2 linked regions of the Schizosaccharomyces pombe genome follow. The protein of the gene in region 1 purifies or fractionates together with the protein of each later gene. This does not show direct contact. Each region holds a gene or a part of one and is shown on either strand. Other genes may lie near its edges. The genes, in order: ssp2 and ade4.

Evidence for each region.
Region 2: the proteins of ssp2 (region 1) and ade4 purify together in Schizosaccharomyces pombe (affinity purification with mass spectrometry, with the first as the bait; one study listed by BioGRID). This does not show direct contact.

The regions. Positions count from the first base shown.
Region 1 is NC_003421.2:1,928,394-1,933,870, forward strand, and holds ssp2 (serine/threonine protein kinase AMPK catalytic (alpha) subunit Ssp2), read right to left. Parts: upstream 3,582-5,477; 5' UTR 3,465-3,581; coding exon 3,317-3,464; intron 3,265-3,316; coding exon 3,032-3,264; intron 2,824-3,031; coding exon 2,472-2,823; intron 2,422-2,471; coding exon 1,424-2,421; 3' UTR 797-1,423; downstream 1-796. UniProt on the Schizosaccharomyces pombe protein: Serine/threonine protein kinase essential for release from glucose repression via the phosphorylation of scr1 upon glucose deprivation.
Region 2 is NC_003424.3:5,363,335-5,368,336, reverse strand, and holds ade4 (amidophosphoribosyltransferase Ade4), read left to right. Parts: upstream 1-1,918; 5' UTR 1,919-1,997; intron 1,998-2,039; exon of another isoform or gene 2,040-2,114; intron 2,115-2,214; exon of another isoform or gene 2,215-2,372; 5' UTR 2,373-2,375; coding exon 2,376-3,977; 3' UTR 3,978-4,349; downstream 4,350-5,002. Other genes in the region: translation initiation factor eIF2B gamma subunit tif223, read right to left, coding at 1-119, 246-516, 641-789; protein Csi2, read left to right, coding at 4,624-5,002.

The sequences.
Region 1 (5,477 bases):
GCTACACCATCGTGTATATTAATAGTTAAAACTAAATAAAAAAATATAATTTTAGTAGATTTTTAATTTTTTAATTATATTGACAATAATAGAAGACTTAAGAAGCATTTTTGGCGTGTGGGACTTGGTATGCCAAATGGCTTTCCAGCTGTAAACAAAATGATTCACCGTTTTTAGATCGGATCAATCTTTTCACGAATTCCGTTAGAAAAAATTAAGAATAAAAGGATATTATACTCTTATTTTTTTCTTCATTCTCTTGTGATTTTGAACCCATCTCTTTTTCCTCATACATTAACCGGTCTTCATATTAACGTCTGTTATTAGATAGTAAACATAATTTATACATTGTTTTTTTTTTTTGAGAGTAAGCTGTGCACCAGTTCTATGAACGGAGTATTTTTATTTATTTTTTGCAGAATGGAACAAATTAATCTATATACTAACTGTGGAATGTATGAATCCTTTAGACAAAATGAATGAAAATACCTTCTACAAATTTTGAGGAATATATAGTAGGATTTTCAAATAATTTAAATATTGAGACATACAAAAATTAAGAATACCAATCATTTGTTCTCGTTTCATAATTCACATTTTGTGTCTATAACTTTCTTTATTAGCTTTTTTCTTTATCACACTAAAGTTGACATTTCTATTGACATTCTTTATGAAAAGAAATTTGCAAAATTTGATGTACAGATGTTTTAACAATTTTTTTTTTAAAAAAAAAAGGGGGGGGGGGGAATTGCTTTCTTCATAAAGTTCAACTAATTACAAACAAGCTAGCATAGTATTTTAAATAGAATTGGTTTGTATTTGAATTAAAGTAAAGATAAAGGAAAATAATACTCTTTATGGACTAGTTCCTCGATGTCGCAGCTGCAAGTCGTTCTTAAATTGCAAAAAAAAATTGCATATTAACTAGTCTTTGATTTGATTCTCGTTTACATTAACATAAACGTATAAATTTTTTTTTTCTTAACGGTTTTCTTTATTATTAAAAGAAAGGTGAGCATATATAATCAACATCGTCATGCATATAGATAAATGGGAAATTTCAGTTATCAGAGAAAACCCGCATGAAAAGTAAAAGGACTCAATAAACTCCTAACATTCAGTCATTCGATTATTTCATATCAACAAATGTATTATGGTTATAACAAGATAAATACTTAACGAGTGAAACCAAAATCTTCTGTAAACCGTTGATAATACAATGGCACTAAATTCATCAATTCATAAATGTTTCAACAGAAAATGGCGGTAATTAATCCGGACACTAGTATCTTCATGCAACCTTATTCGCTAAAAGAAAAGGTAAAAAAAATAAAATGTGTCTTTGCTATTGAGTAGATTTGTTCAACAATGGGTAATTAAGGGATGCTTGAAAACAGCGTGTTAAATGGGGAGTTACAATAAATCATGCAGAAAATAACTTGCACACCAGCATAGCACACAAATCTAAAAATGGGAAAGATGACTTAAGATCATCCATGCCATGATCAGCTGTTCGTTCAGGATGAGAATAAATATCTTTGTAACCATTAGATTTCACATCTAGCATAAAACACCCGGGCATAACTTCATAAAGTTGTAACTCAATATAAGCATAAGTATTTTTTCCTTCCCTTTTACAATGAGGAATTTCCCAACGACTTTTAATGGTATACATGTCTGATCGATATTTTCCATTTACTGGTTTTGGAACGGTAAACTGAGCTCCTGCACGTTGTAAAGCTCGATACACAGCCAACAAAATTTCAGGTGCATCGCCCCGGCAGCGAACACCAAAATGCCATTTGTTACGGCGACTCTTTTTGCGAGTGGATTGGCTCGTATCCACAGCACTAGCAGCATCGGCAAGAGTCCTCATTTCAAGTTTATTTTTTTCTGCCGTAGGCACAAGGACACATATGTTACTGTCAATTGTTTGTTTAGCATATGTTGGAGGGTCGGAGACTGTCCAACGCGGTCCTTCTAAAGTAGGATCGATAAGCTCCTGTTTTGACTTCTTTTGCAATTCAGAAGTATATTCTGAAAATGCGGGTGGAGATACAGATAGAAAAGAATCGACTCGTTTTGATTTGGAGAGATGACTCTTTTCTTGGATTACTTGATTTTCATGTAGCAAGTTATAAGCCTCTTTTACTTCATTATTTTCATCTGAACGTAAAGCTTCGACAATGTAATCCTCCGAGAACCCCATTGCCTCACCAAGCTTGCTGACAATTCGTGAATCAGCATAAGAGCCTTGGACCTCCTCCATAGGACGTAAATAATCGGGTAAATTAACGTTGAACCAAGGGTCCCGACGTATTTCCTGAATTGTTATCCTCTGCATTGGATCTGCAACAATCATTCGGCGAATTAAAGATTGTGCTCCGGGAGAAAGAAAATCAGGCATAACATAAACACAACCTAAATACGTTTAGCAAGAGATAAGTAGAAAAAAAAGTGGCCAAACATACTGTTAACTTTTTTAAACAAATTGGGGATAAATTCATCGTCGAAAGGAAGACGACCCACCAACATCACATAGAGAACAATGCCGCAACTCCAAACATCGACTTCTGGACCAGCATACAATTTCCCGTTGATAACTTCCGGGGCTGCATAATTTGGACTGCCACAGGACGTTTTTAGGAAATTACCGTCTGTCATAATATTTGATAAACCGAAATCAGCAATCTTTACGTTGAGATTGTCATCCAACAACAAATTTTCGGGTTTAAGATCGCGATGTACAATTTTGTGACGGTGACAGTACTCAATTGCACATATAATTTGTTGAAAAAAACGACGACCCTCATCTTCAGTCATCTTTAAAAACAGTCAGCAAATACATAAATTCGTGCATTCAAATTTGTAAACAAGCCTTCATCAGCAACATTTCAGATGCAAAAACAATTTATCTTTTTCTATTTTTAAAAAAGACAATCGGATAACTTGTACATTTTGACAAATCAAACCAATCCAACATCACTTCTGAAATTTACTGTAACAAAAACTCGCAAACCGCACCACTTACCCTTTTCTTTTCTACAATATAATCAAACAATTCACCACCTGCATATTCAATTACCATAACGATATCTGTGGGCGTGGTTATCACATCATACAATTTAATAATATGAGGATGTCGCAAAAGCTTCAAGTATGAAATTTCACGCTCCACACGCATATGCATATCGCTTTTCTTTAGCAATTGACGGGAGATAAACTTGAGAGCAACTTTCTGTTGCGTTTTGTAATGAGTAGCGACTACAAGTACGTTAGTCTCTATTCTCATGATATTAAATATTAGCAATCTTACGCTTGACTTTGCCAAAAGAACCTTCACCAAGGGTTTCCCTTATAATATAAGGGCCGATATGGCGCTTGGATATGGCTTCTGGTGGTAAAACTCTTGCTCCATTTCGCATGGTTGAGTTCTCCATTAAATCAACCTCCTGCGGTTGCATTATCAGCTATTCGCTTGGCAAATCCAATATTGAAAGTTTATTGATAAAATCTTTTTTTCCTTAATAGCAAGGCTTAAATTTCAGAGTGTGAGATAAATATATAATTTGGTAGAAGGCAAAGCCATAGTATACATCCTTAGTTGTGTCACATGAGATGATATGAATTGGACTCGTTAATTCGTTTAAAATAACACTATACAGTTTTTTAAGCCACCGTTTTACTAGTTAACGAAGTTGCGTCACAATGCGGAATTTTACTCAATGAATTAAAATTCTACTACACTATTCATTTTAATGCAAACTGCAAACTCTTATTTAACTAACCCAGTTAACTGTTCCAATAAAATACTTATACATGTTACAGTGTTCGCATTTCAATCTTGGCTGTATAAGTAATAACATGATCCAAGTATGATTAAGCAGTTTATTATGTTTGTAAAGAACCCATCCCAGATATAATGGAACACACGGCGTACCCCACAGTCTTCATAAGATGGTTGTTAAGTGCAGCGTTGTGTATCGCATTATAACGCTCTTGTCAAATCTTCGTTGAGTTTGTAAACAATTAAGTACTGGTTGAGTTAATACAAAAAAAAGGAAATGAACAAGCTTTTTATTAGAAAAGAGTCTTCATATTGGATGTGATTTCTCAGCAACATTTAAACAGTGATCATGAATATAACGAGCCTGAACTGATTTCATTTGTTTACAAGGCACACAGACTAATTATCACTGTTTCTTGCATGAAAGTCTTTGCTTTGACGAAAAAATTTAATATTCTAAGAAAAGCTATCAATCAAAATCCAAATAAAAATTTTTTTAGAAAGCAGGGAAGTGTTTTCGAAGTCAACAACTTGTATGATAATATAAGAATGCAATAAAAATACAGCGCAATTTACCCTGAACGAATTTTATAGCTTGTTTGGGGTAAATCACAATCACAGGAATGCTTTTTTATTTGGACATCCTCGTAAACAAGTTTCGTGTAAAAAGCATCTTTGTAATTCAAATAGTAAAGTTAGCATGTGATTGGACTTTATTTACAAAATTCATTTCACACGATGAATAGAGGTTTCTTCATTCACATGCTGTCTGGCATCACGATCTATAGGTGTTAAGCAAACACATTTAAAGTGATACTTTTTTATATAATAGAATATGCCACCATAAGTTAGTTCGCAAATTTTTAGCTTTAGGTCAAACTACGCAATTAAAACTTTGCGCTACGTGTAGTAGTACGGTAAATTTCGTTGTGGTTTATTAATTATAGTATACAGATATCATGAGTAGCAATTAATTTTATGTATTGATATATGGGTTAAATCGTTACCCATCACTAAACTAGCTTATAAGTGAATGTCGTTCCTGAGTTCAATTTGGCTCTATTTATATTTCATCCTAATTTATTAAACCACAAACATTCTAGATGAACAGTTATCCGCGATTATCAGTATTTAAACGGGTCTTAAAACTATATTAACATAAGGAAACATGCTGATACACAACGTAATGTATTTTAACGCAGGGTAGTATTGCTGACACTAATTTGCAATGACTTTCTTGTTAACTCGCGTTTTAGTAAATAAAAACATTAATTTCGTTTAATTTGAAATTAAAGCAAAAAGACATTATATGTTTTCCTAAAATCATTAATGATGTAGACATATCAATGCCTTGCCAACTCGCGAATTAACATGTTTATCGTATTGTTGTCAGCAAACGGGATAAGAGTTTTGCCTCATATTGCTTGGCAAACAGTAAGTCTACTTTCTTTTTGAATTTAATTCATGAACGAGTTAAAAATTTTGACACAAATTCTTGTTTCTGCAGTACAATGATTTGCTTGTCGCACACATTCACAGTCATTGTATAACTATCCTCGTGTAAACATCGCAGATCTCTACATTGCAAACGTCCTCTATTTCAGTATAGTATAACTCTATCTAATCCTTTGTTCATTTCAAAATGCCAAGTTTGAGGTATGGATTAGGGAGATACTCTTTCATGTTGCTT
Region 2 (5,002 bases), on another chromosome or scaffold:
TATTTTAACACTGGACTATATACAGCCAGTGCTGAAGGGTTATCAAGGCGAAACTTATCCAAACCGTATATGGGAGGGAGACCAACTATACTATCACAACTGAGACACACAAAGTCATTCTGGTGGGTATCGGTTAGCATTTTTTGTGACTTTAAGACGAGTAATTAAATTGCAGAATGAGAGAGAAAAGATCAAAAAGTCTAAGAACACATGCATATCTACTTATACATAAAAATAAATCATACCTTTATAAGATGGGATACAGCACGAAGAGCATCGGCAGAGCTTTTAGAATCATCTAAAATAGTCGGTGCTTCCACGTGAATACGCATATGTCCCTCGTAGCCAGATCGTAACCAAGCATTGATATGGGCTTCCGCTTCTTCCATGCAAATAAGAATAGCAGAAGTAAATCCAGCAGCTTCAAGCCAATATAATGGGTAGTGAAGCATCGGTTTATTGCCGATAGGTAATAAAGCCTTGGGAAGTGCATCGCTTCCAGTCAAAGGATATAAACTAAAACATGGTTAGTATTTTCTTATTGTTATTTTATCTTTTTTAAGTGTTGATGAAGATAATATGTGCGAAGTCATCATTATCCAAATCGTTAAGTAGTCAGTACTACACTTGTTTGTTTTACCTATTGCCAAATCCTGCAAAAACAACAGCTTGAAATTCAATCGGAATAGACTGTAATTGAATATTCCCCCGATTTCGTCCACCAGAAATAGGTCCAAGGATTGAAGGGCTACTGGCTAAAGGAAGTGCAGCATGCTCATACAACGACATTGTGAGATGTTGTTCTTCAAGGCGTTGGATGCTTTTACAAAAGGTTTTTACCTAAAAGGATGCTTTGAAGCCAAAATCTTTTATAACCTGATAGAAGACGAATTATTGGGTTTTTTTGCAGTACGCCAATATTTGATGAAGATGGAAAACCTTACTTTCCTAGATCCCTACTAACGAGCCAAAAGTTTACACGTTACACATCACTATCTGAAATAAAAATGTGCTGAATTTATATTTGTGTTTAGAAAAATGTATTCATGAAATATGAACTATTGATGATTTTTTTTTAAAATGATTTACCAACTCAAAATGTGGAGCTGCTTGAAAACTAATTATTGCTTTGCACTTGTAATTTTGTTTAATGTGCAATATTAAAAAAGATGTTTTAATAATCAACGATTTATAAATCGGTACGTTTTCGCGATCCTGGTTTATAATCAATCCGATAGTAAAAAATATCAATCAAGCGCTCAGAAAATGATCCTCTGTACACCAATTAAGGAACAAATATTTGAAGCCGGTTAGTAAACTATTATTTTGAGGAATCAGAAGATTAGAGATACAGTACATTGTGTATTGTTTTCATTAGTTTTTTAAGTTTAAAAACCATTGGACTACTGCAATCGTAACAAGTTGAACTAAAAGTTTTGGATTAGATTACCCATAGCTCTCATCTCGGTGATTAATGTATTGTTGTTAACTACCGAGTAAAGAAGGAAGAAAAACCAGAACATTGAAAGATTTTATAACAAATAAATAGTAATGGGATACCTCCGGTAAAGCTCAATAATAAGTTGATGTGTATGCGGCATTACTGTAACACTGCACCACTCTTAACTTCATCGAATTTTTTTTGATATAAGAAGGTTTTATTTAAAGATATATTTTTAAGCTTAAAAAATTTTTTTTGGCAACAAAAATAGCAAACAATTTAATATCATCTACCCTGTCAGCTAAGTAGCAAGCTATACCTGTTACCTATATTAACGTGCGCATATCCCACCTCTCTTTAAGCTTCTATTTAGCGAATCGTTCATCACAATCTTGAGCAGTCATAGTTTCGACTCATACTTCACTATCATTTAAGGCGGACAATAAATTAATTTATACGGCAGCAAAATTTTGCCTTAACAATATACCCAACTACGGTGTTTGTTCAGCGCGTACCTGAAAATCTTTTTTTTTTTGTTTCGTACGCGTTTTAAAAAGTAAGTTAATATAGATATTGATTTTCCAACGCCGCAGTACTTGCCTATGATGATTACCGTTTATTTAGATGCTAGACTTCTGAATTTCATCTTATGTAGCTACAAGGTTTTCTGAGGTCTGCTTAATTGATTAAAATTTTTTATTTTCTGTGATGGTAACATACAACTCATTTTACGGTCGGTACAAAAAAATTGAAATTATATTCCAAGTATTCTCAAACTTTGATTGCTGTCCGAATAGAACAGTCCGACTCATATTATTTTAATCAAGTTATAGCAATTTGACTGGGTGCTGTTTTTTCTTTTGTACATTTAAACCTATCATTTTATTATCTTTTGTATTCAATTCACAACCGAAGCTCTAACAAGTTTTAGAAAATGTGCGGAATTTTGGCGTTAATGCTTGCTGACCCTCATCAACAGGCATGTCCTGAAATTTATGAGGGTCTTTACAGTTTGCAGCATCGGGGTCAAGATGCCGCCGGTATTGTAACCGCTGGAAACAAAGGTCGTCTTTACCAATGCAAGGGATCCGGCATGGTTGCCGATGTTTTTAGTCAGCATCAACTTCGCCAACTCGTAGGTAGTATGGGTATTGGTCATTTGCGCTATCCTACTGCTGGAAGTTGTGCTCACTCTGAAGCACAACCCTTTTATGTTAACTCTCCTTATGGTCTTGTGTTGGGCCATAATGGTAATTTAATTAATGGACCCGAATTACGACGCTTTTTGGACACTGAGGCCCATCGTCATGTAAACACTGGATCTGATTCTGAGCTTTTGCTTAACATCTTTGCTTACGAGCTTCAACGGTTGGATAAATTTCGTATAAACGAAAATGATATTTTCGAAGCTTTGCGTAATGTATACGATCGCGTTAATGGTGGTTATGCATGTGTTGCTATGATCGCAGGCTTGGGTGTTTTGGGATTCCGTGATCCCAATGGCATTCGTCCTTTAGTGATCGGTGAACGTGATACCCCCGAAGGAAAGGATTACATGCTTGCTAGTGAGAGTGTTGTATTGACTCAATTTGGATACCGTACATTCAGAGATATTCGCCCCGGTGAGTGTGTCTTTATTCGTCGTTCCAATAGGGAAGATATACTTGCAGGGTTTAGAGGCCCTCGCTTGTTTTCTCGTCAAATCCTTCCCTGCCTAAGATTTACTCCCGATATATTTGAGTATGTCTATTTCGCTCGTCCCGACTCTGTTATTGACGGATTGTCCGTATACCAATCCCGTTTAAATATGGGTGAAAAGTTAGCGCATACTATAATGAAACGGTTTGGTCCCGATTACATGGAAAAAATTGATGCTGTCATTCCTGTTCCAGATTCTGCTCGAACCAGTGCCCTTGCACTTGCACAGACAGCTCAACTGCCATACGTCGAAGCTTTTATTAAAAACCGATATATTGGTCGTACCTTCATTATGCCAGGTCAACAGATTCGTCGTAAATCGGTTCGTCGTAAATTAAATGTTCAACCTCAAGAGTTTTTTGATAAGAATGTTTTAATTGTGGATGACAGTATTGTTCGTGGTACCACCTCTCGTGAGATCGTTCAAATGGCTAGGGAGTCGGGTGCAAAGAATGTCTATTTGGCTAGTTGCGCTCCTATGATCACTCATCCTCATGTCTACGGTATTGATCTCGCTGATTGTAAGGATCTCATTGCTTATGGAAAAACTGAGGATGAGGTTGCTGAAGCAATTAGTGCCGATGGTGTCATTTATCAAACATTAGAAGATTTATTAGATTCTTGTCGTACGGCTGAGCTGACCGAATTTGAAGTTGGTCTCTTTACTGGCGAATACACTACTGGCGCTAGTAAAGAATATTTAGTCCATCTTGAGCAAATGCGTATTGCTAACAATCGTGCTCGTAAGCATAGCTTTGCAGAAGATGAGGAACGTGAAGCTCCCGAAGACATTTCTCTCCATAACACACATTCAGATGTTACTTTTGATTTTGTTTAATTCCCCAATTTATTCAATGCTTAGTGCTTTATTATAATAACCAATCCTCCATTTACTTTGTCTAGATTGATGCTCTAATCCATTGTTGAATACTAATAGAATGTACAATCGCCCCATCAATGGTTTTTTGGTTGATTTTAATTTCTGAATTTTTGTCCTCTTGAAACTTTTCTTGAAATTAAAGATAATTTCATCAGCTCCTTGTTGTTAATTTTACTTTTTGTTACCAATTAATATATATTGTTTCAATATATAAGTTTACCCATACTCTTTAAGACTATTAGATTATAAGTAGTGTCTGAAAAAAATTTTCTACACACTTTTATAAACATGCAATAATATACAATATTGGTTTTTTTTTTTTGGTCTCTTAACCTTTTCATAAAATGAAACATAATTCAAAGTCTGTTTGTACTATTTGCATAATTATGTTACAAACTCTTTCGACGTTTTTACTTGTATAGTCCACCAACTTCTTCATTTCTTTATATAAATGCGTATAACGGTAAAAGCATTCTTTCGTTTAATCAATAACTAAAAACCTATTAATTTAAGTCTATGTTTCAATACAACTCACTGTTTTGGCGAAACTCGTGTTGAATGATTCCGAAGAGAGGGGATTTCGATATCATCAGTGCCTTTTGTGATGATGTCTAGAAAGCGACAGGCATCCTCTAATGATTTTTTTGACATGGAACAGCTTTTGATAGCGAATGATGCATTAGTGCATCAGAATCACTCTACTCCCAATCATGCAAGCGACGAATTGTCTGTGAACGACCCTTCGCCTTTGAGCCGTGGCCTGCAGTCAGATGTCAACTCAAACATATCTAGAAATATCTCTAACACATTCTTTAAAAAGTCGATCTTTTTCTTCGTTTACTATTGTAAGCAAGCTTTAGAATTTATCAGCACTGTATTTTCCATCATAAAGTTTCTTTTGAACCGTCGAAAAGTTAGCTTTTTACTCTCATTTCTTTTGCTTTTCTCGTTGTTTTTACTAATACCTAATGATGGACGAGTAA